Linked DNA regions of Sus scrofa. The protein of the gene in region 1 interacts with the protein of each later gene in a pairwise test. Links are inferred from orthologs where the notes say so. Each region holds a gene or a part of one and is shown on either strand. Other genes may lie near its edges.

The links. The genes of interacting proteins can lie anywhere in the genome.
Region 2: the proteins of CNKSR1 (region 1) and CYTH3 interact in binary tests that used the Homo sapiens proteins (3 or more experiments, as listed by UniProt). The two-hybrid records come from large-scale screens. The link is inferred for Sus scrofa from reciprocal best matches to the Homo sapiens genes CNKSR1 and CYTH3.

Annotation. Positions count from the first base shown.
Region 1 is NC_010448.4:83,593,384-83,603,728, reverse strand, and holds the start of CNKSR1 (connector enhancer of kinase suppressor of ras 1), read right to left. Parts: upstream 5,367-10,345; 5' UTR 5,275-5,366; coding exon 5,223-5,274; intron 2,241-5,222; coding exon 2,083-2,240; intron 1,982-2,082; coding exon 1,800-1,981; intron 1,206-1,799; coding exon 1,121-1,205; intron 701-1,120; coding exon 659-700; intron 580-658; coding exon 475-579; intron 1-474. UniProt on the Homo sapiens protein: May function as an adapter protein or regulator of Ras signaling pathways.
Region 2 is NC_010445.4:4,927,000-4,937,289, reverse strand, and holds the start of CYTH3 (cytohesin-3), read right to left. Parts: upstream 6,226-10,290; 5' UTR 6,156-6,225; coding exon 6,098-6,155; intron 1-6,097. UniProt on the Homo sapiens protein: Promotes guanine-nucleotide exchange on ARF1 and ARF6. Promotes the activation of ARF factors through replacement of GDP with GTP. Plays a role in the epithelial polarization.

The DNA of each region.
Region 1 (10,345 bases):
GGTGGAATGGGGGACAGAGCTGGCACAGCCCAACATGCTGTGTGACTTGGGGCTTGCCGCTGCTCCTCTCTGGGCTCTGCCTCCTCCTCCCACAAGAGCTGAGGGGAGCTGATTTCTGAGGGATGAAATTCTTAGCAACTCTCTTGAAGGGCTAAGCTGGGACAGGAGTGTGAGAGTATGGGGTTTTCCCAACTGGTCAAAGATTAAAGCAGAAAAGTTCAGGTCCTCTCCCCTCTCCGTGTCCCAGGGCTGGCTGGGATGTGTCGCCTGAGGCCACCCCAACTGCAGCCCTTCAGGACTGGAGAAGGGGCTGAATAAGGATAAGAGCCCAGCGAAGTCCTCTGGGCCGTGGACATCTCTACAGAAAGAGCCTTCCAGCTGCAATAGCAGAGGATGCTGTGGATCCTAGAACCTGGGTTCAGGGCCCAGGCAAGGCTGCCGGGGTCAGAGGTGAGTTGAGAGGTCAAGGCTCACGGAAGGATCATCCAGCTCTACGCGCTCTAGCACGGCCCTCTGCTCCAGCAGCTCCTCCGGGCTGCAGCTCAGGATGTTGTGGCAGATCCCAGCCACGTGGCTGCACTGGCGGAGGGAGAGCAGGATGTCTAGCCCGAGCCCCCTCCCATCCCACCCCGATGCCCCACTCAGCCCCCGGACTCACAATCCTCAGGACTTTGCTCTCCTTCTCAGCCGCTGGACAGTCCTGGAAGCAGAGTGAGAGAGCAGAGGCCTACCCTGAGTAGGGTGTACTGCCTTCTCCCAAGGGTAGGGAGGTTCCCTGAAGGCCCTCCCTGCGCCCCATACTCTGGCCCCCTTCCCAGAACTACATGGCCTCAGAGGTTTGGCCTCAAGCTCTCATCCCTGGAGGCCAGGCACCTAGAAGTCACCACACACGCCCTCCCCTGCTCCTCCCCCTCCTGAGTTAAACTTCCTGAGCTACCCCAGCCCGTTAGGAGCCCCCACACCCCCATCACCCCCTACCCAGTGGCTGGGCCTCTTCTCCTTCCACCCTCGCCTCTTCCTGCTCTCACACCTGATCCTCTGCTGATTCACAAGTTATAAAAAGCTGTAGCCTGATTTGGTCTCTATGGCCTGGGCCAAGCCTGGCCCCTGGTTCTCCTACCTCCTGCAAGGCCTGGCCCAGCTCCCCGCACAACTCCCCAATCTCCTGGCAGGATGAGAAGTCATTTAAGTGGGAGAAGAGGTACCTGGCAGGGGGAAGGATGGAGCAGTGGTTAGGGGACTGAGCCCAACAGTCAAGTCAGTGGACCACCCTGAGCTGACTATGCATCTGGGACTTGGGGAAAAATCCCCATTCTGATGGGTTTTGATTTGGGATAAATGAGATGACTCTACATCTCAAGACAGGACTTGATTGTCAAGTGCCTACTAAATGCCAGGCCCTGTTGTAGGCACTGGAGAGGCAGATATTAAACATGTAATCACATCAATAATGATTTAACTTCTATTGCTGTGAAGTGTAGGGAGCTCTCAGAGTGTATAACAGGGAGGGCTTTCCTGAGGAGGTGACATCAGAGCTGGGACCTATGGGACAAGCATTAGCCAGTCAAGTGGGTGGAGAGCTCTGGATGCAATGTCGTTGATGCGATTGTCATGGTTACAAGCTGGAAGTGGCGTGGGAACTCAGACATCCCAGTGCCCCTACACAGACCAATTAGCTTCTTTGCCCGCTTCCACCATAGCTGAGCAAGCTCTATTTTTCTCTCCCAGGTCCTGGAAGAGGCCAAGGATGAGAAGGGGCCCCTTACCCTTCACACAGACCTGGGGGGAGCCCGAGGTACCTGTTGAGCCAGAAGAGGAGGGAACGGGCCTCATGCACCAGCTCGACGGCTGCGTTGAGGACATCGGCAGGGGGCTCGGCACAGCCCCCCAGGTGACCTTGGACTAAGCCCTGGAATGCCCGGATCCTCTCCAGCAGCCTTTCTGTCAGGCTCTGCAGGTTCTCCGACTGTAGCCCGGAGCTCTGTACCAGAGGGGCAGGTTAATTCCTGGCAGCGGCCAGCCTCCCATCAGCACTTCCAAAGGAGGTGGAAGCTGCAGCCAGTGTGGCCACCAGGCACTCACCAGGGCCCGGAGCTGTTCCACCCCTTCTAGGATGAGCTCCTGATGGCCCAGAGGCCACACAGTTAGAGCCTCCAGGCTGCGGGGGCAGAGCTGGAGCAGGTACTTGCCAGGCAACTCCCAGTCCTCAAAGGGATAGTCCTGCAGGGAATCATCGAGGCCTGGAGGGAGAATGGGGGTCAGTGTGGCAGGGAGCCAGGGGTGTCAGGGCCTTGCCCGGCAGTACAAAAGCCCTTTTCCTATTGACAACCCTGAGACCCAGGCTGTGCTCTGTCCTGCCCATTTCACAGATAAGGCTACTGAGTTGAGAGGGAGGATCCCATAGGGCAGCAGCTCTCAGAGGTGGCCCCCAGACCAGCCGCAGCGGCCGCCTCACAGGAGAATTTGTTAGCAAGACATATCCACAGCCCCACCCCACACCTGCTGAACCAGAACTCAGGGGCAGGGCCCAGCACTTTGCGTTTTAACAAATCCCCAGGTGTTCTGAAGCTTGCTCAAGTCATGCTTGATGGGGCTTTGGAGTCAGAGCGACCCGAGTGATAGCACTTGAGCAAATAACTTAATTATTCCGTGCCTCAGTTTCCTCACTGTCACGTGGGGCTAATAAAAACACCTACCTTCTAAGCATGTGTATTAAATAACATGACGCAAGTCAAGCTCTGGACCCACTCTCTTGGTTCATGGTAGACAGAAAATAGCAGCCCCTGGAGTTCCCGTCGTGGCGCAGTGGTTAACGAATCCGACTAGGAATCATGAAGTCGCGGGTTCGATTCCTGGCCTTGCTCAGTGGGTTAAGGATCCGGCACTGCCATGAGCTGTGGTGTAGATTGCAGACGCGGCTCAAGATCCTGTGTTGCTGTGGCTCTGGTGTAGGCTGGTGGCTACAGCTCCAATTAGACCCCTAGCCTGGGAACTTCCATATGCTGTGGGAGCAGCCCAAGAAACGGCAAAAAGACACTCACACACACACAAAAGAAGAAGAAAAAAAAAAGAAAATAGCAGCCCCCATATGATTATTGACGGACTTTTTACCATGATTTGCAAGGTCTTGTATAATTGGCCACCACCTGCCTGTCCGGTCTCATTTCTTGGCCCAGCCCTTCAAACTCAACACTTGAGATCCAGAGCACTGACTCACTGCAGCTCCTGGAAGGCTCTCTTGCCTCAGGGTCCTCGCATATGCTGTTCCTTCTGCCTAGACTGCTCTTCTAGCTCCTTTACATCTTTTTTCATCTAACTCCTTCCAGCCTCCCACAACTCCCCAGGCTGGGTTGGGGCAACTTCCTGTTCTCACTGCCTCTGTGCCTCCACCAACCCCTGCACCAGAGCACCGGCCTCTTCTGCTTGATGACAAGCTCTTCGAGGACTGGGCCTTCAGCAACTGTTCATCTCTAATTCCAGCCCAGGCCTGGCACAAGGTAGACACTCAAAAATATGAAAACTATCTAGGAGTTCCCGTCGTGGCACAGCGGAAACAAATCAGACTAGGAACCATGAGGTTGCGGGTTCGATCCCTGGCCTCGCTCACTGGGTTAAGGATCCGGCATTGACATGAGCTGTGGTGTAGGTCACAGATGCAGCTCGGATCCCGTGAACGTCACAGAGGTGGCTCGGATCTGGTGTGGCTGTGGCGCAGGCCAGCAGCAACAGCTCTGATTAGACCCCTAGCCTGGGAACCTCCATATGCTGTAGGTGTGGCCCTAAAAAAAAACAAAAAACAAACAAAAACTATCTAGTGAATTTAGGAGGTAGAGATGCTGTTATTCTCATTTTACAGATGGGAAAACAAATCAAAGTTAACAGCTAGCTTTCTTGCTCTTTGAAGGAACCCCTGCCATTCAAAGCCAGGGTCCGTCACTGGAGTATGTGCACATGATCAAGAGCTGACCCTCATTCCCTGTGTGACATTAAGAGCATGTGACTAGGGGAGTTCCCGTCGTGGCGCAGTGGTTAACGAATCCGACTAGGAACCATGAGGTTGTGGGTTCAGTCCCTACCCTTGCTCAGTGGGTTAACGATCCGGCGTTGCTGTGAGCTGTGGTGTAGGTTGCAGACGCGGCTCGGATCCCGCGTTGCTGTGGCTCTGGTGTAGGCCGGTGCTATAGCTCCGATTGGACCCCTAGCCTGGGAACCTCCATATGCCGCAGGAGCGGCCCAAGAAATAGCAAAAAAAAAAAAAAGAGCATGTGACTAGGGGTTCATGAACCTGTTGCTCCATGGCAGTGGGCCCTGGAGCACCTCCCTTCCCAGGTATTGTGAATATACTGGGCTGCCTCCCTCCCAACAGATCCTGACACTGAGCTAAATGCGCCAGGTCCTGGTCGTGATGGTCTCATTTGGTCCACTTGATGAGATCAGAGCTGCCTTTCCCATTTTAGGGAAGGGAAAATAGACCTGTATTGCAAAACCGTGAGTGGAGGGGCTGGGCCTGGAACTCGGTCTGAGTGTCTGACTCCAGCCCTGAATCCCTGCTTTTTCCGGGGCTGGTCACCCCGAGCCTGCTCCCAGTGTACTCAGCTGCTCCCTGTCAGAGGGATGTCCTGACTCACCTGCCCACCCCCAGCTGCATGTCAGAAGGTCTTCACTTAGAGTCTGGGCCCTTCCTCACCCATCTGGGCTCATCTCCCCTGGAGGCGCGGAGTGGGGGGGCTATGTCAACCCCTTCAGTCAAGCTAGGGCTTCTGCTCTCAAGTGGGAGCAGGTGGGGAGAAGGGAAAAGACACCCAGGCGGCCCTCTTCCAAAGCCAGAGCAAATCACTTCCTGGCTCAGTGCATAGGTTTCCGCTTCTGAAAAATGGGTTTAATAACAGCCTACTGCGCCCTGGGGCAGAGGGGAGATGAAGGAGATACAGTGGGGGTGGGCCCGCTGGGGCAACACCCTCCGTTTTCATTACACAACCACTGCCTCCCCACAGCCACCCTGGCAGCCTCTTGAGCTGCTTGGGCGATGAGAGACCCCTTCTGGGTACTCGGCCCCCCGACTTCCCAGGGTCATCTTAGTTTTTCTTCCGCCAGGTTCACGGCAGACGCTCCGTAAATACTTGTTGACTGACTAACCAGCTGGAAAACCGGGCAGGTCGTTTTCCTTTGCCTCTCCCGGTCCCAGTGCTCCTGAAGCCCAACACTGCCCCAGCCCCACCCACCTCTCAGCCAGGCCGCCACCTTCCCGGGGGTCCAGGTCGCGACTGGCTCCATGGCCAAGTTCGGCCGCTCAGATCCGCACCCGTTCGGTCTCGCCCGCGCAGGAATTTCCGCTCCCAGAGCCGTGACCTGGGGAGGGGCCGAGCCGGGCTGGGCCGGGCCGGGCCGGGCCGGGGGCGGGGCCACCAGCATACCTGGGCCCTCAGAGCTCACCAGGTGAGGCGTTGCGACAGCCATTGGCCTCCTGCCTGTTCACCTTCTGCCCCGCCCTTCAGGCATCCTAGGGCAGCTGGGCTGCCAGGGCCAGGGTGTGCCTCTGGTGTGTGACCCAGCTGATCTCAAGAGGATCCCTGCCCCCAAATGGCCTCACCTGGCAGCGTCCTCCAAAAGGGGCCAAAAAGTGAGCAGTGAGCACAGCAGCAAAGCACAGATTTTCGGGAGCCAGAGCCTGGGTGCAAATCCCAGCTCTGAGCTTGTTAGCTGTGTGATGAAGGGCTAAGCCTACACACCAGGCATCAGTTTCCCTGAGTGGATGTAATAGTTCCTATTTGGGAGAGGTGCTGTGCAGAGTGCCTGTGTGAATAGCTCTAAAACCTTCAGAACTGGTTTTTAGCCCTTTTTTTTTTTGCACACGGACACTTTCGGCAGCATGATGAAAACCCTGATCCTTTTTTGCAATGATGCTTTTAAAAGTGTAGAGCAGGAGCTCCCATCGTGGCTCAGTGTTTAACGTAATCCGACTAGGAACCATGAGGTTGGGGGTTCAATCCCTGGCCTCATTCAGTGGGTTAAGGATCCGGCTTTGCCATGAGCCGTGGTGGAGGTCGCAGATGTGGCTCAGATCCTGAGTTGCTGTGGCTGTGATGTAGGCTGGCAGCTGTAGCTCCAATTTGACCCCTAGCCTGGGAACCTCCATATGCCGTGGATGCGGCCCTAGAAAATACAAAAAAAAAAAAAAAAAAAAAAAAAACCAAACCAAAACAAACAACAACAACAACAAAAAAAAAAAAAGCATAAAGCAGTGGAGTTTCCCTCATGGTTCACTGGGTTAAGGCTACAATAAAGTGTCTGATCCCTGGCCTCACTCCCTGGGTTAAGGATCTGGTGTTGCCGTGAGCTCCAGGGTATGTCACAGATGCGGCTTGGATCTGGTGTTGCCATTGCTGTGGCCTAGGCCAGAAGCTGCAGCTCTGATTCGACCCTAGCCTGGGAACTTCCATATGCTGCAGCGACAGCCATAAAAAGAAAAAAAATAAACAACAAACCCAACCTCCAAATAAATAAAAGCATAAAGCAAAATGCCAAAGATTACAAAGAGGACACGTACTGCCAAAACATATTAAAAATCCAAATGTATTATATAGTAATAGCTATTTATCAGCATTAAGTAACAAGACTGGCAAGTTAAATTTTCCTTTTCTAACGATATTATTGTGTTGTTGCTCAGCGTGAATAACACTGAACTGTGGGTGCTGGTCTTTTACTCAATTCCTCACACTTATTGACCAGCAAACAACTACAGATAAAGAATGCAAGGGAGTAATGAAGAAGCCAGGGTCACCAATGTCAGAGCAGGTGGATTCACCATTTGGTCACTGATCCTCTACTGGGCACAATCAATGGCAGCTATGTCACAGGAGTGTCTGAAACAGAGTGTGATTTAGCAGTGTATTAATAACTGTCACCATTTTGAAATAGTTATGAGCATAAGTAGTATTTTGAGAGGCATGCAATAACTACAATTTGTCATGAAAATATCTGTGGTTTCTACTGGTGATGAAGCCACACCGAAGGCTAATACTTCAATCCATATAGAAGGAAATGGTAAATTTTGTTTAGAAGTTAGTGAAAATACGTCACTTTTTTTGCCATCCAAGTTTATAGACCCTCTGAATTGGGAAGTCCAGGTTAAGAGCCTTCCTCTTAGAACAATGTCTGGATACTAAGTGTCTGCAGTTGTCAGCATCATCGCCCCAGGCCAGGGGCCTCCCAGGACTTTGGAATCAGATGGAATCAATTCCACTCGCTCTGTGTCTGAGCCCACCCCTTGCACCTCTCGGACCCTGTTTCTTCCTCTCTAAAAGGGGGATAACCAGATCTTAGCTCTGTGAGGATGTCCTTTAAGTATTTTGAAATCTGTAACATGAGGTAAATCTGAGTTATTATTGCTTTAATTCTATGGGGAGGGGCCCGGAAGTCTGCTCCCTCTGTGTCACCTAATGTCTACCAGTGCCTCAATACCTGGCCTCCAAAGATTGTCATGAACTTGACTGTCATCCAGAGACCCAAAGTCCGAATTTGGCTCACAGATGTCTGTGTAGCATGTGCACATGTGTGTGTGTGTGTGTGTTGCTATCATTTAACAATTTCACATACCAACTGAATTCCCTGGAGCTTGAGTGGCTCAGCGGACCCATCCCATCCTCACATGTGGCATCAAACCTGAGTCTAGATCGTTGGTGGCTTCCTTCAAGGGGACTCATTTGTGAACCAGTAGATGCCAAATTTGCAACTCAGCTTTCACCTCTCTGGCTTTGTCCTTGGCCTCACAGCTTCACAGTCTGCCCCATTCGTCTGTCCAACACACCTCCATGCTGCTTCCTCCTCCTTTATTTTTTATTTATGCTTTTCATAAATAAGGTCTGCGGCATAGGGAAGTTCCCAGGCTAGGAATCTAGCAATGCCAGATCTGAGCTGTGTCTTCAACTTACACCGCAGTTCGCGAGGCCAGGGATCAAACTCACATCCTCATGGATACTAGTCAGGTTCATAACCTTCTGAGGCACAAAGGGAACTCCCGCTTCCTCCCCTTTTTTGCCGCCTCCTCCTCCACTAGGCTCCCTGTGGAACTCTGGGGAAGCCCAATAAACATAGACCTATCTCCACCATCTAGATTTCATCAAACACCCACCCTGAGCTGGCACAAAATAGAGAGGTGAGAAGCCAGCCAGCCTCTACTGTCCCTGAACTCACAGTCCGGTAGAAGAAAGGAACGAGAACTCGCCACTTGTACTCAGATCTAGGGCCTGACAACCACACCAGTGCCTTTCCTCTGGGCCCCCAGCAGCTGGTGGGGCTGGGCAGTTAGAAGTACAGTAAATGGCAGCTTCTATTTTGAAGGTGGTTTTATAAGTTTATAAAAGGTCTTCAGACGTATGTGCTGTAAACATTTTAAAGGTAACAGCAGGTCATTAAGTGGAAGGAGGACAAGCCCTTTCCCCTGCATGGCCCCATCCTGTCACCTAGAGTGGGCCATTTAAGTTTTTTGAGTGTTCTTCCATTCTTTTTTTTTTTTTTTTAATGCCTACAGCAGCAGCATATTGAAGTTCCCAGGCCAGGGATTGAATCTGAACTGCAGCTGCAAACTATGCCACAGCTGTGGCAACGCTGAATCCTTTAACCCACTGCACCAGGGGCCGGGGATTGAACCGGTGCCTCCACAGCAACCTGAGCTGCTGCAGTTGGATTCTTAACCCATGGCACCACAGTGGGAACTCCTTAAAAAAAAAAAAAAAAAAAAAAGAAGACCTGGAGTTCCCATCGTGGCTCAGTGGTTAACGAATCCGACTAGGAACCATGAGGTTGCGGGTTCGATCCCTGGCCTTGCTCAGTGGGTTAATGATCCGGCATTGCCGTGAGCTGTGGTGTAGGTTGCAGACGTGGCTCGGATCCCATGTTGCTGTGGCTGTGATGTAGAGCTAGAGCTCCGATTAGACCCCTAGTCTGGGAACCTCCATATGCCATGGATGCGGCCCTAAAAAGACCAAAAAAAAAAAAAAAAAAAGAAAAAAAGAAAAGGAAAAAAAAGACTCTGTTAAAAAAAAAAAACAACCTATAGTTGATTTACAATGTTGTGCCAATTTCTGCTATACAGCAAAGTGTTTCAGTCATACATATATATATATATATATATATATATATTCTTTTTTTTTATGGCCTCACCTGTAGCATATTGGAGTTGCTGGGTTAGGGGCTGAATGGGAGCTGCAGGTCTACACCACAGCCACAGCCACATAAGATCTGAACAGCATCTTTGACCTACACCACAGCTTAGGGCAATGCTAGATCCTTAACCCACTGAACCCGAGGCTAGGGATCAAACCCGAATCCTCGTGGACACTGTCAGGTTCTTAACATGCTGAATCACAATGAGAACTCCTATGTACATGCTTTTTTGTATATTATTTTCCATCATGATCTATCCCATGAGATTGGATATAATTCCCTGGGCTATACAGTAGGACTTTGTTTATCCATTCTAAATGCAGTAGTTTGCATCTACTAACCCCAAACTCCCAGTCCATCCCATTCCCTCTCCCTTTAGCAACCAGAAGTCTGTTCTTTGTGAGTCCGTTTCTGTTTTGTAGACAGGTTCATTTCTGCCATATTTTGGATTCCGCATAGAAGTGATATTATATGGTATCTCTAGGTCCATCCATGTTACAGTAAATGGCACTATTTCATTCATTTTTTAAATTTTTTTGGTTTTTAGGGCTACACCCGCAGCATATGGAAGTTCCCAGGCTAGGGGTTGAATCAGAGCTGTAGCTGACAGACTACACCATAGCCACTTGGGATGGGACCCTCGTCTTCGACCTACACCACAGCTCATGGCAATGCTGGATCCTTAACCCACTAAGCGAGGCCAGGGATTGAACAGGCATCCTCATGGTCCCTAGCTGGATTCATTTCGACTGCAGTGGGAACTCCCTGCACATCTTAATCTAAATGCTCATTGACAGATGAATGGATTATCTCCATGTCTTGGGTGTTATGAAGAGTGCTGCTATGAACATAGGGGTGCATCTCTCTTTGAATTATAGTTTTTCCAGATAGATGCCCAGGAGTGGGATTGCTGATCATACAGTTCTATATTTAGTTTTCTAAGAATCTCCATACTGTTTTCCATAGTGGTTGTACCAACTTACACTCCCACCAATATAGGAGGGTTCCCTTTTTCTCCACACCCTCTCCAGCATTTTTATTTGTAGACTTACTAATGATGGCCATTCTGACCCGTGTGAGGTAGTACCTCATTGAAGTTTTGAGTTGCATTTCTCTTCCATTCTTTCTATATGCAGAATCTCTACATGCTATTCTGCAAAAATGCTTCCCCCATTTTAAT
Region 2 (10,290 bases), on another chromosome or scaffold:
TGGCTGTGGTTTCGTTTTTTTGTTTGTTTCTTTGGGTTTTTTTGTTTTTTTTTTTTTTTTTTTTTTTTTGCTTTTCAGGGCCACACCCTCGGGACATGGAGGTTCCCAGGCTAGGGGTCGAATCGGAGCTGTAGCCACCGGCCTACACCACAGCCACAGCCACGCCAGATCTGAGCCGCATCTGTAACCCACACCACAGCTCACGGCAACGCCGGATCCTTAACCCACTGAGCAAGGCCAGGGATCAAACCCTCCACCTCATGGTTCCTAGTTGGATTCGTTTCCGCTGAGCCACGATGGGAACTCCTGCAAACAGCTTTTTTAAAAATAAAAGTCCAATAGTACCGAAAGGCTCCTAATGAAAAACACAAGACTGTCTCAAATAGGGGAAAACAGCGTTTGGTGAAATTCAACAGCCCTTTCTGATTAAAAAAAAAAAAAAAAAAAAAAAAAAATGTGGTAAACTAAAAATAAAAGAGTTCTTAACCTCAGCAAAGGGTCTGTGGCAGAAACCTACAACAATCATTAGACTTGGAAACGTTCCCAGTAAAGACGGACCAAGGACGGGTGCCACCCACACGGACAGCTGCCTCCAAAGCACAAGGCTGGGGAGGTTCGCGATTGCCGCTGGGGCGCATCGGGTTAAGAATCAGACCGCAGGAGTTCCCGTCGTGGCTCAGCAGTTAATGAACATGACTAGCATCCGTGAGGAGGCAGGTTCGATCCCTGGCCTCGCTCAGTGGGGGGGCGCTGTCATGAGCTGTGGTGTAGGTCGCAGACGTGGCTCAGATCTGGCGTGGCTGTGGCTGTGGTGCAGGCCAACAGCTGCAGCTCCGACTGGACCCCTAGCCTGGGAACCTCCATATGCGGTGGGTGTAGCTCTGAAAAGACAAAAAAAAAAAAAAAAATCTGACTGCAACAGCTCAAGTCACTACATTCAATCCTCAGGTCCAAGCATGGATCTAGCGCTGCTGTAGCTGTGGTGTAGCTGGTAGCTGCGTCTCAGATTTAATCTCTGGCCCCAGAACGTTCTGTATGTCACAAGTACAGCCATTTAAAAAAAAAAAAAAAAAAAAGGCGCCTGGGGAGGTTTTCCCAGGGCTTGCAAAGGGAAGCATGTCCATCAACTAAGTTCTCCGTAAGCAGTAAATCTGTAGTTCTCCACCCGAGGGGGCTGTCAGGGTCTCTGCACATCTTCCAAGACGAAAACATCTCATAAACTTTATTGAAAACGTTCCTCAAAATGTTAGGATCCCCCAGCAGAAAATTCCACCGTGAATGTGAACAAGTGGGACCTCGGCTGAACCAGGATATAAAAACGCTAACTTTGCGGCAAACAAGAGCCTCCGATTTGCTTCGGGGTCTGTTTCTTTAATCAGGAAAATGTGGGAGACTTCAACGAGCGGATCGGTGCTCGGGCTCACTCTGACTCAGCGTCTCCTATTTAAACAAAAATGTATTAACGATGACTGGGGACACGTGAAGCTTCCCCTTGTTTTCCAGCCTGATTTAGGGTTTGGCGGGGCCGCACCCCGGCTCACAGAGGAAAGGCCTAAGGACCTGCCTTCCTGAGCCTCCGTTCCTCTCCCTCTCTTGAACCACTGCCCGCCACCTCTTCCCCGTGCCAAAGAGGCACCGTCAACAGATCACAGGGCACACTGGGAACGGCTTCGAGGGCAGCTCCGCGGTCACACGCATCTGCTCTGGAGCTCACGCTCCAGCCCCGCAGGACAGCAGCGCACACTCACGAACATGCCCCATAGCCCAGCTCTGTTCCAAACGCTCGGGCCAAACACGGAGCACTTCGGAGGGAGGAGAAGGGCTGGAGAGCAGTCTTTGTGAGCAAAGACTCGAGTTCGCAAGCTGTGTGGGAGGCAGGATTCAGGGGTCAGGCTAGGCTGAAAGAGCCAGGCTGGTAGCAAAGAGTGTGTGTGTGTGTGTGTGTGTGAGTGTGTGTCCCCCAACGCCCCCGGCACATGACCTTAAAAATTAAAAATGAACAGTTTTAAAGCAAGGAGAGGAGGCAAAGGAACTTTTATCTGCCTCCGAGCCAGGCTCGACCTTAACATTTTAGCTGCTGGAGATCCGGGCTGTCCCGAGACCTGCCTCCCACTCCACCCCCTCGGCCCAGACCACAGACGGTCCCCTCACGCCCAACACCGGAGGCGCCGTCAGAGAGTCAAACCCGCCCTTTTAAATAGATTTCCTCCTCCTCCGTCGCCTCGTCTTGGTCTTTTCCTTACTCCTGTGACGGCAAAAGGTCCCTCAGTTCTGAGAGGCGTCTTTATGGGTCATGCAGAGCCCCTGCGGCTGTGGGGACAGCGAGGACACAAGACGCTGCCCAGGGCCACGCGGCCCCTTCGCTCTGAAGGCTCCGGGAGCGGATTCCAGCAGGAGACGGAGCCACCGTGTACACACGCCCACCGCACGTCTCAGCGCCGAGCAACAGATGTTTAGCAGCTGTCCAGCAAGAGTGCAGGCTGGAGGAACAGGAGGTGAAACTTGACGGAGCCAGAGAAAAAGAGAGGCGGGAGTGCAAGGAGGAAACACCCGGCTGAAGGCAGCCGGGCACCAGGGCGCCCTGACCGACCTGTCTCAGCCGGGTGCTACCATCTGCCGCCAAGGCGGTAAGAGCGGCCACGTCTTAATTTTACACACACTCCCCCAAACGTTACAGCATGCCTGCTTCTATTTTTAAAAATATGATGCCTCGTTTAGCTTATAAAGAAACTGTACCTCGCTACCGCCATGGAGCACTCGTTTTCCTGGGAGGCGCGCGGAGCGGGGCGCACGTGGTCACCAAGCGGAGCCCAGCCGCGGGCAGGCCAGGGGCCACAGCTCAGCTCCTCCCGTGTGAGCCTGTGCGAGTTACTGCATCTGGTTAAGTCTCAGATTCCTCGTCTGCACGGAGGGGCTGGCAGGCCTATCTCGAGGACTGCTGTGAGAACCGGCAAGGAGCTACGATGCCCCCTCCAAGTGCTAGGGCAGCGGCTGGCACGCCGCAATTAACCACTGACCAGTGGCACTCTTGCTGCTGCTGCTACTATTGTATTAACTACTATTAACACCTTTCACCTAGACACTTACAAGGAGTTTCTCCCCCTTAAAGCAGAGCCTCAGGCACCTAAAACTAACAATACCTACTCCCATTCTACTGGGGGGCCAGGGGGTACTTTCTTGGTGGTGTCTGGATCTGCAGAGGGCATCGATGACGAATGCAAACCCCAAGGAGACAGACCCAGTCAAAAATAAACACCCGCCATCCCAATCTGCATTCTAGTCTACCAGCCACTAGGCTCAAGGGAAGTGCAGTCCCGGAGGCCTGCAAGCCCCATCTGAAGACTGTTTCTCACCGTGCAATTTCCACGGCGAAAAACCCTGTGTTCACAAGAGGAGCCACGGCTGGCACGCCAACGACAACGCCACACGGCCAACCAATGACAGTGTGGCTCTCGCCGACGCTGACGGATGTCTGCCATGTAATGACACGAGAAGGGCTGGGAGGAAACCCTAGGTACAGAGAATTTGGCTCCCGTTTTGAAAAATATACATATTCACTCACAGAAAAGTCAAGTTGAACACACCAAAATGGTGATCATGACAGAATGAGAGATGATTTTTCAGTCTCTTCTTTGCAATTTTCTGAAAACTTTTAGGAGCTTGTACTTTCACGATCAGAAAAAAAAAGAAAAAGAAAATCGATAACGCTATTTCCACCTTAAAATAAGACGTTACTCCGCGGCTGAGCAGGTCACATGTGGCATGCCACGGGTCACAGACAGCTGCTCTCAGCCCTCGGCAGGGCTGCCCCTCGCCCCTCGGGGTGCCAGGCCCGGTCCTGGGGGCCCTTCTCTAGGCCTCTTCTTAGCTTCCATTCATTTAGCAAATCCTACTCAACACCTGCTCTGGAGCAGGGGCTGTGCCTGCAGCAGGGGCCACGCACAGCGACAAAGCCACAGCCGCTGCCCAGCTTACCCTTCCCGGCCGGTAAGGAAAAGCGCCAACTCCCACCCCACCCCACCCTCATACACACATGATTCATATCACAAAACCTCAGTAAGGTGCAGAGGGGAAAGGCAGAACGATAGGAAACTCGGGTTGAGGGTCAGGGAGGGCGGAGGAGGTGACCTGGACACGGAGCCAGGCAGGTGAGGCGCAGGGCGCTGACGAGAAGCTGCTTCCAGGCAAGGACACGGTCCGAGCAGAGACTCGAGGGCTCTGCAGCACGAGAGAAACGTCTCACGGCTCACATGACATCGAGATGGGGTCTGTCTGTGCGCCAGGAGTCGGCCCACCTCCCAGGTCCTTGTACGCAACAGTCACACTCAAAAAATGTATGTTTCAAATCAGCCTGGTTATCCATTTGCAGTAAGAAATACAACTGCCTTGAGCACACGCTCTTTGCTTTCAATGCTGACCCATCAATTCAGAGACAAACAGGAACCTACCCCAGGGAACCGGTACCGGCAACTAACACATCATCACATCCTCTCCCACCTCCAAGTGTGGGCAGGCGACTGAACGGCGGGCGGGACAGTTCAAGGGCGTCACGGTCCTGCCCAGATGCCCTCGCCGCTCCACAGAAACACCGCACCCACACCAAGTCCACCGCTAACACCTGCTGCACACGGGGTCTTCACCGAGCCGGACCGCGGGGCAGCTCTGCCTCCGGCCCGGCGGGGACACAGCCATCCTTCCCTCTGCTGCTGCACAGCCAGCCATCTGTGGCCTTCGGAGGGGGAGACGGTGCTGGCTTTACAGGCTATGAGCCTAAGGTAGGAATCACCTCCCTGTTCAAACACTGCGAGGACACCTCACTGCTGTCCCCGAAAAGCCTCAAAACACGGTCCCGCTCCAGACTCCTAACCCTCAGGTTCCTCTGAGCCTAACCGGGAACCATCTGGCCGCTGGGCTTTCTCGCCCCCGCCTGCACCCGCGGCTAAAACTTGCCTGTCTCCTGGTCTCTCCACACCCCCGAGGTTTCACCTCCCCGACCTGCCTCGAGATGCACTGTTTCCAACCTTCCCTTGCTTTCCAGCCCTTCCAGACTCGCTGCCAGAGCCAATCCTGGATAAACTCAACCGCCCTTTAATCCAACCCAGACATAAGCACATTCCTGACAATTAAAACAAACCGGAGGCAAATCAGTTCTCGGATCTTGGGAGAACAGCAGCCAGAGGCAGGCAGGCCTCGGGAGCTGCAGCTGCAGGAGGGGCCAGAGGCCCGGGATCCAGCGCTCGGATTCTCGCTGCCCAGCCTGGGGCCCGGGTCTCTCCTGGCAGCCCTGCCTCCCCCTCTCCATTTCATCTTCCTCTAAGACCACCAAGAAAGAGCGCAGGGCCTGCCAAAAAAAAGGACCGTGTAGAGATCGCCTCACCGGTGCCAGCGGCCACCAGGACCCGGTGGTGACAGTCGCCGCAGCAGCCAGAGGGCAACCTGAGCAGGCCGCCCGCCTGGGGCACAGCTCCCCCAGGACAGCTCCCCCGGCCCAGCTTCCTGTCGCTGCCCTCAGCTTTCTGGGCGTGGCTCCTAGACTTCCTGCAGGTCCGGTCACCTCCCCGGGGTCTTCCCAAAGATTCCCTCTGGTCACCCGAAGCCACTTGTCACCGCCTCCACCCTCACTTCTCCGTCCACTGCAGCCTCCAGGCAGCCCAGACCTTTCTGGCCAAGCTCCTTCAGTGGTGCTGCTCCTAAAACCCCGTCCCCCAGGCACCCACGTGCTCCGCCACACCCCAGCTTCTCTGGACACCTCAACGCCTTCACGACCTCAACTGTCTCCGAGGTGCTACTTTCTGCACTGTATTCAACTGGCTGCCAGACCCCTGCTCCAGGAAACCCTACAGAAACAGCCCGTGTCCAGAAACGAACCCATCCTCTTGACCTCTACCCCTCCTGTCGGTCCCATTCCCCGCCCGGATTCAAGTCCTCACTCTGGGTCAAGTTAGACACGCTTGGAGTTACTCTGGCCCATATCCAAGGGGTCACCAGATCCTAGAACCTGTCACTACCTCAGGAACCAGTTTCCGTTTGAGGTAGTCCACCCGCCTCTTCGTCTCTGGTCCCAGTTCCTACCCTATTTCAAGGCCTTCTTACCGACCTCGACTTTGCACTACGCAGTCCTCCTTCTGAATCACCGAGCTGATCAGAGTTACCATCCCGCCTGCAGCCCCGACTCAGGGGCCCTGACCACGCTACGTGCAGCGCTACGTGCAGCGGGAGCCGGGCAGGGCCAACCTTCGCGCCTTGGAGAGCCGCCGCGCAGCTCCGTGAGTCAGCCTCCCAGCTATGCAAACGTCAGACAAGCATGGACACTCGCGGCCCTGGGAGAAGAATCAAAGTACCTTCTGGGTGCTGAGCAAGGTCTGCCTTTCCAGGAACTCACATTCCCCTGGTCCCATCTGCAGCCGGGCCAAGGAGCCTCTCGGAGGAGGAGGAGGAGAGAGGCCCCGGGGCCTCGCTGTTAGAGGACGCCCTGGGTGTCCCGGGTCTGGGGCAGGAGAGGACACCAAAAGCCCCAAAGCGGAGGACAACACGCAAGCATGACTCAGGCTCAACCTCAAGGCCCGGACGCTCAAGGAGGGGGGCTGGTTTCAGCACAACTTGTACTTAAGACTGGAACCCCCTGGGGGCGCGGGACCTGGCGACCCCGCCAAGCAGCTGTGCTCAGCGAAGAAGAGCTGAGAGTTCGGTGCAAACTAACAGAGCAGGGCGGGACCAAGGAACCCCTGGCTCAAAGAGGTCGTCACACAGGAGAGGGCGGGCCTCCTCGAGATGGGCGATCACAGGGCTCAAGGGACGCGCTGGAAAAATAAGGGACGCGGCCCAAGCCAGTGAAGAAGGCCTTCCGTTTCCACGGGCCCTTCCCACCCTCAGCGCAGGAGCGAGAGCCCCCCGTGCCTCGTCTGAGTGCCTCTAATCTGGTCCCAAGGGACGCGTCCCAGCCCATGGCCCCCCAGGCCCCTCGCCTCGCCTTGCTCCCAGCCCACCACGCGGCTCTGCTGAGCTCGGGGGTGTCCCTCGCCACACCGGGGACAAGCTACACGTTTCTCGAGGCTCGGTTACCACGCACCCCATCACGTCTGCGCTGGTGCCCGCGCCGTCAGGACGCTTTCTGCCCAAGGGCCTCCGCCACCACGTGTCCTGGCTCCGCCCCACGCCGGCCACGCCCACAGCCTGCCACCCTGCCTCACACGTGGTCACCTGACAGATGAAAACTCAGACGCCGCCGGCAGTCAAGGAACAGGACAGCGAGCGGCGTCCTGCCACCGCCAACTCGGTCACTTCCCCTCTGACACAGAGCGTGTGGTGAAGCCCCCAGGCCGGGAGGCTCCTTCAGGATCCGAGTGCCCTGTGCCCTCCTCCACTGTGCAGCAGAACCCCGGGGGCCTGCTCTTCCCAGGACAGCCCATGTCCCCAGCAACAGAGGCTCAGAAAACACATGACCCACATCTGTTGATGAAATGAGCTGAGCAGAGGCAGCACCCACCTCTCACCTACATGGTTCTCTGATTTCTATTAAAAAACATAAAAACAGGAGTTCCTGTCGTGGCGCAGTGGTTAACGAATCCGACTAGGAACCATGAGGTTGCGGCTTCGGTCCCTGCCCTTGCTCAGTGGGTTAACCATCCGGCGTTGCCGTGAGCTGGGGTGTAGGCTGCAGATGCGGCTCGGACCCCGCGTTGCTGTGGCTCTGGCGTAGGCCGGTGGCTACAGCTCCGATTCGACCCCTAGCCTGGGAACCTCCAGATGCCGCAGGGGCGGCCCAAAGAAATAGCAAAAAGACAAAATAAATAAATAAAAACAAAAACACACTTTTTATTCCCACAAGAATTTCTGCCAGTGAGAAAGTTCCACCCATGGGGAGTTTCCATCGTGGCTTAGTGGTTAACAAACTTGACTAGTATCCATGAGGACATGGGTTCAATCCTTGGCCCAGCTCAGTGGGTTAAGGATCCAGTGTTGCTGTGAGCTGTGGTGTAGGTCGTAGATGGGGCTTGGATGCCTCATTGCTGTGGCTGTGGCGTAGACCAGCAGCTGCAGCTCCGATTCAACCCCTAGCCTGGGAACCTCCATATGCCACAGGTGTGGCCCTAAAAAGCACCACCCCCCCAAAAAAAGCTTCCACTCATGTGTCCAAGCAGTGCACAGGAATCTGACTACTTATAAGCTTATCTTTATTTCTTCCTAAATCTCAAAAGTCAGCCAACTTCCGGGGGTGGCAAGAGAGGCAAACCCCAGAGAGAACATGAGTCTAGCTACGTGCACAGAAGCCTTCACCTGGCGCTGCAAGAGTCTAAGGGTGGCGTCAGTTTGGCTGAGATTAGCAGTGGGTATACAGGTGGCTTCAGGCAAAGACAGCAAGGCTTTCACTCATTCTAACATTCTAACAAAAGAAAATACATTTTTGGACTTCTCGATGTGGCACAGTGGTTTAAGGATCCAGCACTGTCTCTATGGCGGCACAGGTTCAATCCCTGGCCCAGGAACTTTCATGTGCCATGGGTGTAACCAAAAAAAAAAAAAGAAGACAATACATCTTAAATATCTCAGACAACCTTCTGAGGTTGAGCATCATTCGAACCCAGGAAAATGGCTAAGAACCTTGTTCCAACCGGAAGAGTGGGCTATTAATGTTTTAAGAGTTAGTTGTATTTTTTTTTCCTTCATTTTTGGCCACACCCATGGCATATGGAAGCTCCCAGGCCAGGGATGGAATCCAAGCTGGAGCTGCCACCTACACCACAGCTGCAGCAATGCCAGATCCTTAAACCGCTGCACCACAGAGGGAACTCCTAGTTGTATTCTTTTTAAAAGAATTTCTTTTTAAATTCACTTCCAAGAAAATCAGAGAAACACTGTGAATCTTAATATCTATTTTAACTGCTTCATTTGTAACCAAAAGAAACCACCCTCGGGCTCCCATTCAAGCATAATTCCTTCCTGCAGGTAATTGTTTAAACAATTTCCACCAAAAGAATCTCTTTACCGCTGTTTTAAAACAAGTAAAAGGGCTGAGGGAAAAATACTGAAAGATTAAAGAAATGACTGCTAATGGACAAGATGCAGTTCAGCAGAGGCTAATGGAGGCAGCTGTGCTTTGTAAAGAAATACCAACAGCAGCATAATGTAAATAGCCTACAACATGGCCAAGCATACTGAGCAAGCAAAAGTAAATTTAAAAAGAAAAGCCCTTTGGTGAAACGATCTTGTATGGTACTAGGATGGATCCACCTCATTCATTACACATCTGTCCCAACGCACAGAAGATCTGACACGGGGAGCAAACCCGAACGTAAACTGGGGCCAGTGGGTGATGTGTCGACAGGCGGTTTTAAGAGCAGTAACAGGTGGACCATCCCTGAGGGCTGTCCAGAGCAGAGGGGGGAGGCGGCAGGTATACAAACAACCCCTGAACCTCCTGCTCAATTCTGCTGTGAATCTAAGACCGCTCCCCAGATCACATCTATTTAAAAGGAGAAAAAAGAAAGACAGAACGCCAGCCAGCCTTTCCTTCCTGTCCTCTGTGGTCTCTGCCCATCAACACCCACAAGCGGCCACCGATCTGTCCCCTGCTCTGTTTCCTGCCCCCACTGCACGTTCTCCTTCAGCAAATACACAGGCTCCCACTGTCTCAACTCTCATCTCCGTTCATGACTTGCAAATGTGATTCCCAGCCCTGTTCTCTTTCCTAAGCTTCAAAACTGTCTCCATATGGAGGGCTCCCTAGTGTCTCAAAATGAACACTTTCCAACAGAACTCGGGGCCAATGCAAATGGACAAGAGACTAAAATCTCAAGAATAAAAACTGGAAAGGAGGAGATAAAATTATCACTTGCCAAAGAAATGACTGCAGAAGTAGAAAATCCAAGAGACCCAACCAAAAAGCTACGTTTCTAAAATCAGTAAGATAATCTGGTAAGCTAGTGAGATGCAACCATACAGAAATCAACAGCTTTCATAAATCCAAACAATAACTAGATAATAAAATGGAAATAAAATGGAAAAAATACCTCAATTGCAATGGAACAGCACAAAGGCAACCATTTAAAAAAAAAAAAAAAAAAAAAGACAACTTAGAGAATGGGAGAAAATAGTTTCCAATGATGCAACTGGCAAGGGCTTCATCCCTAAAATATACAAACAATGTATACAACTCAACAGCAAAAAAGCCAACAATCCAATGGAAAAATGGGCAAAAGACCTGAATAGACATTTCTCCAAAGTAGACAGAAGGCCAATAAGCGCGTGAAAAACGCTCAACATCCCTGATTATCAGAGAAATGCAAATCA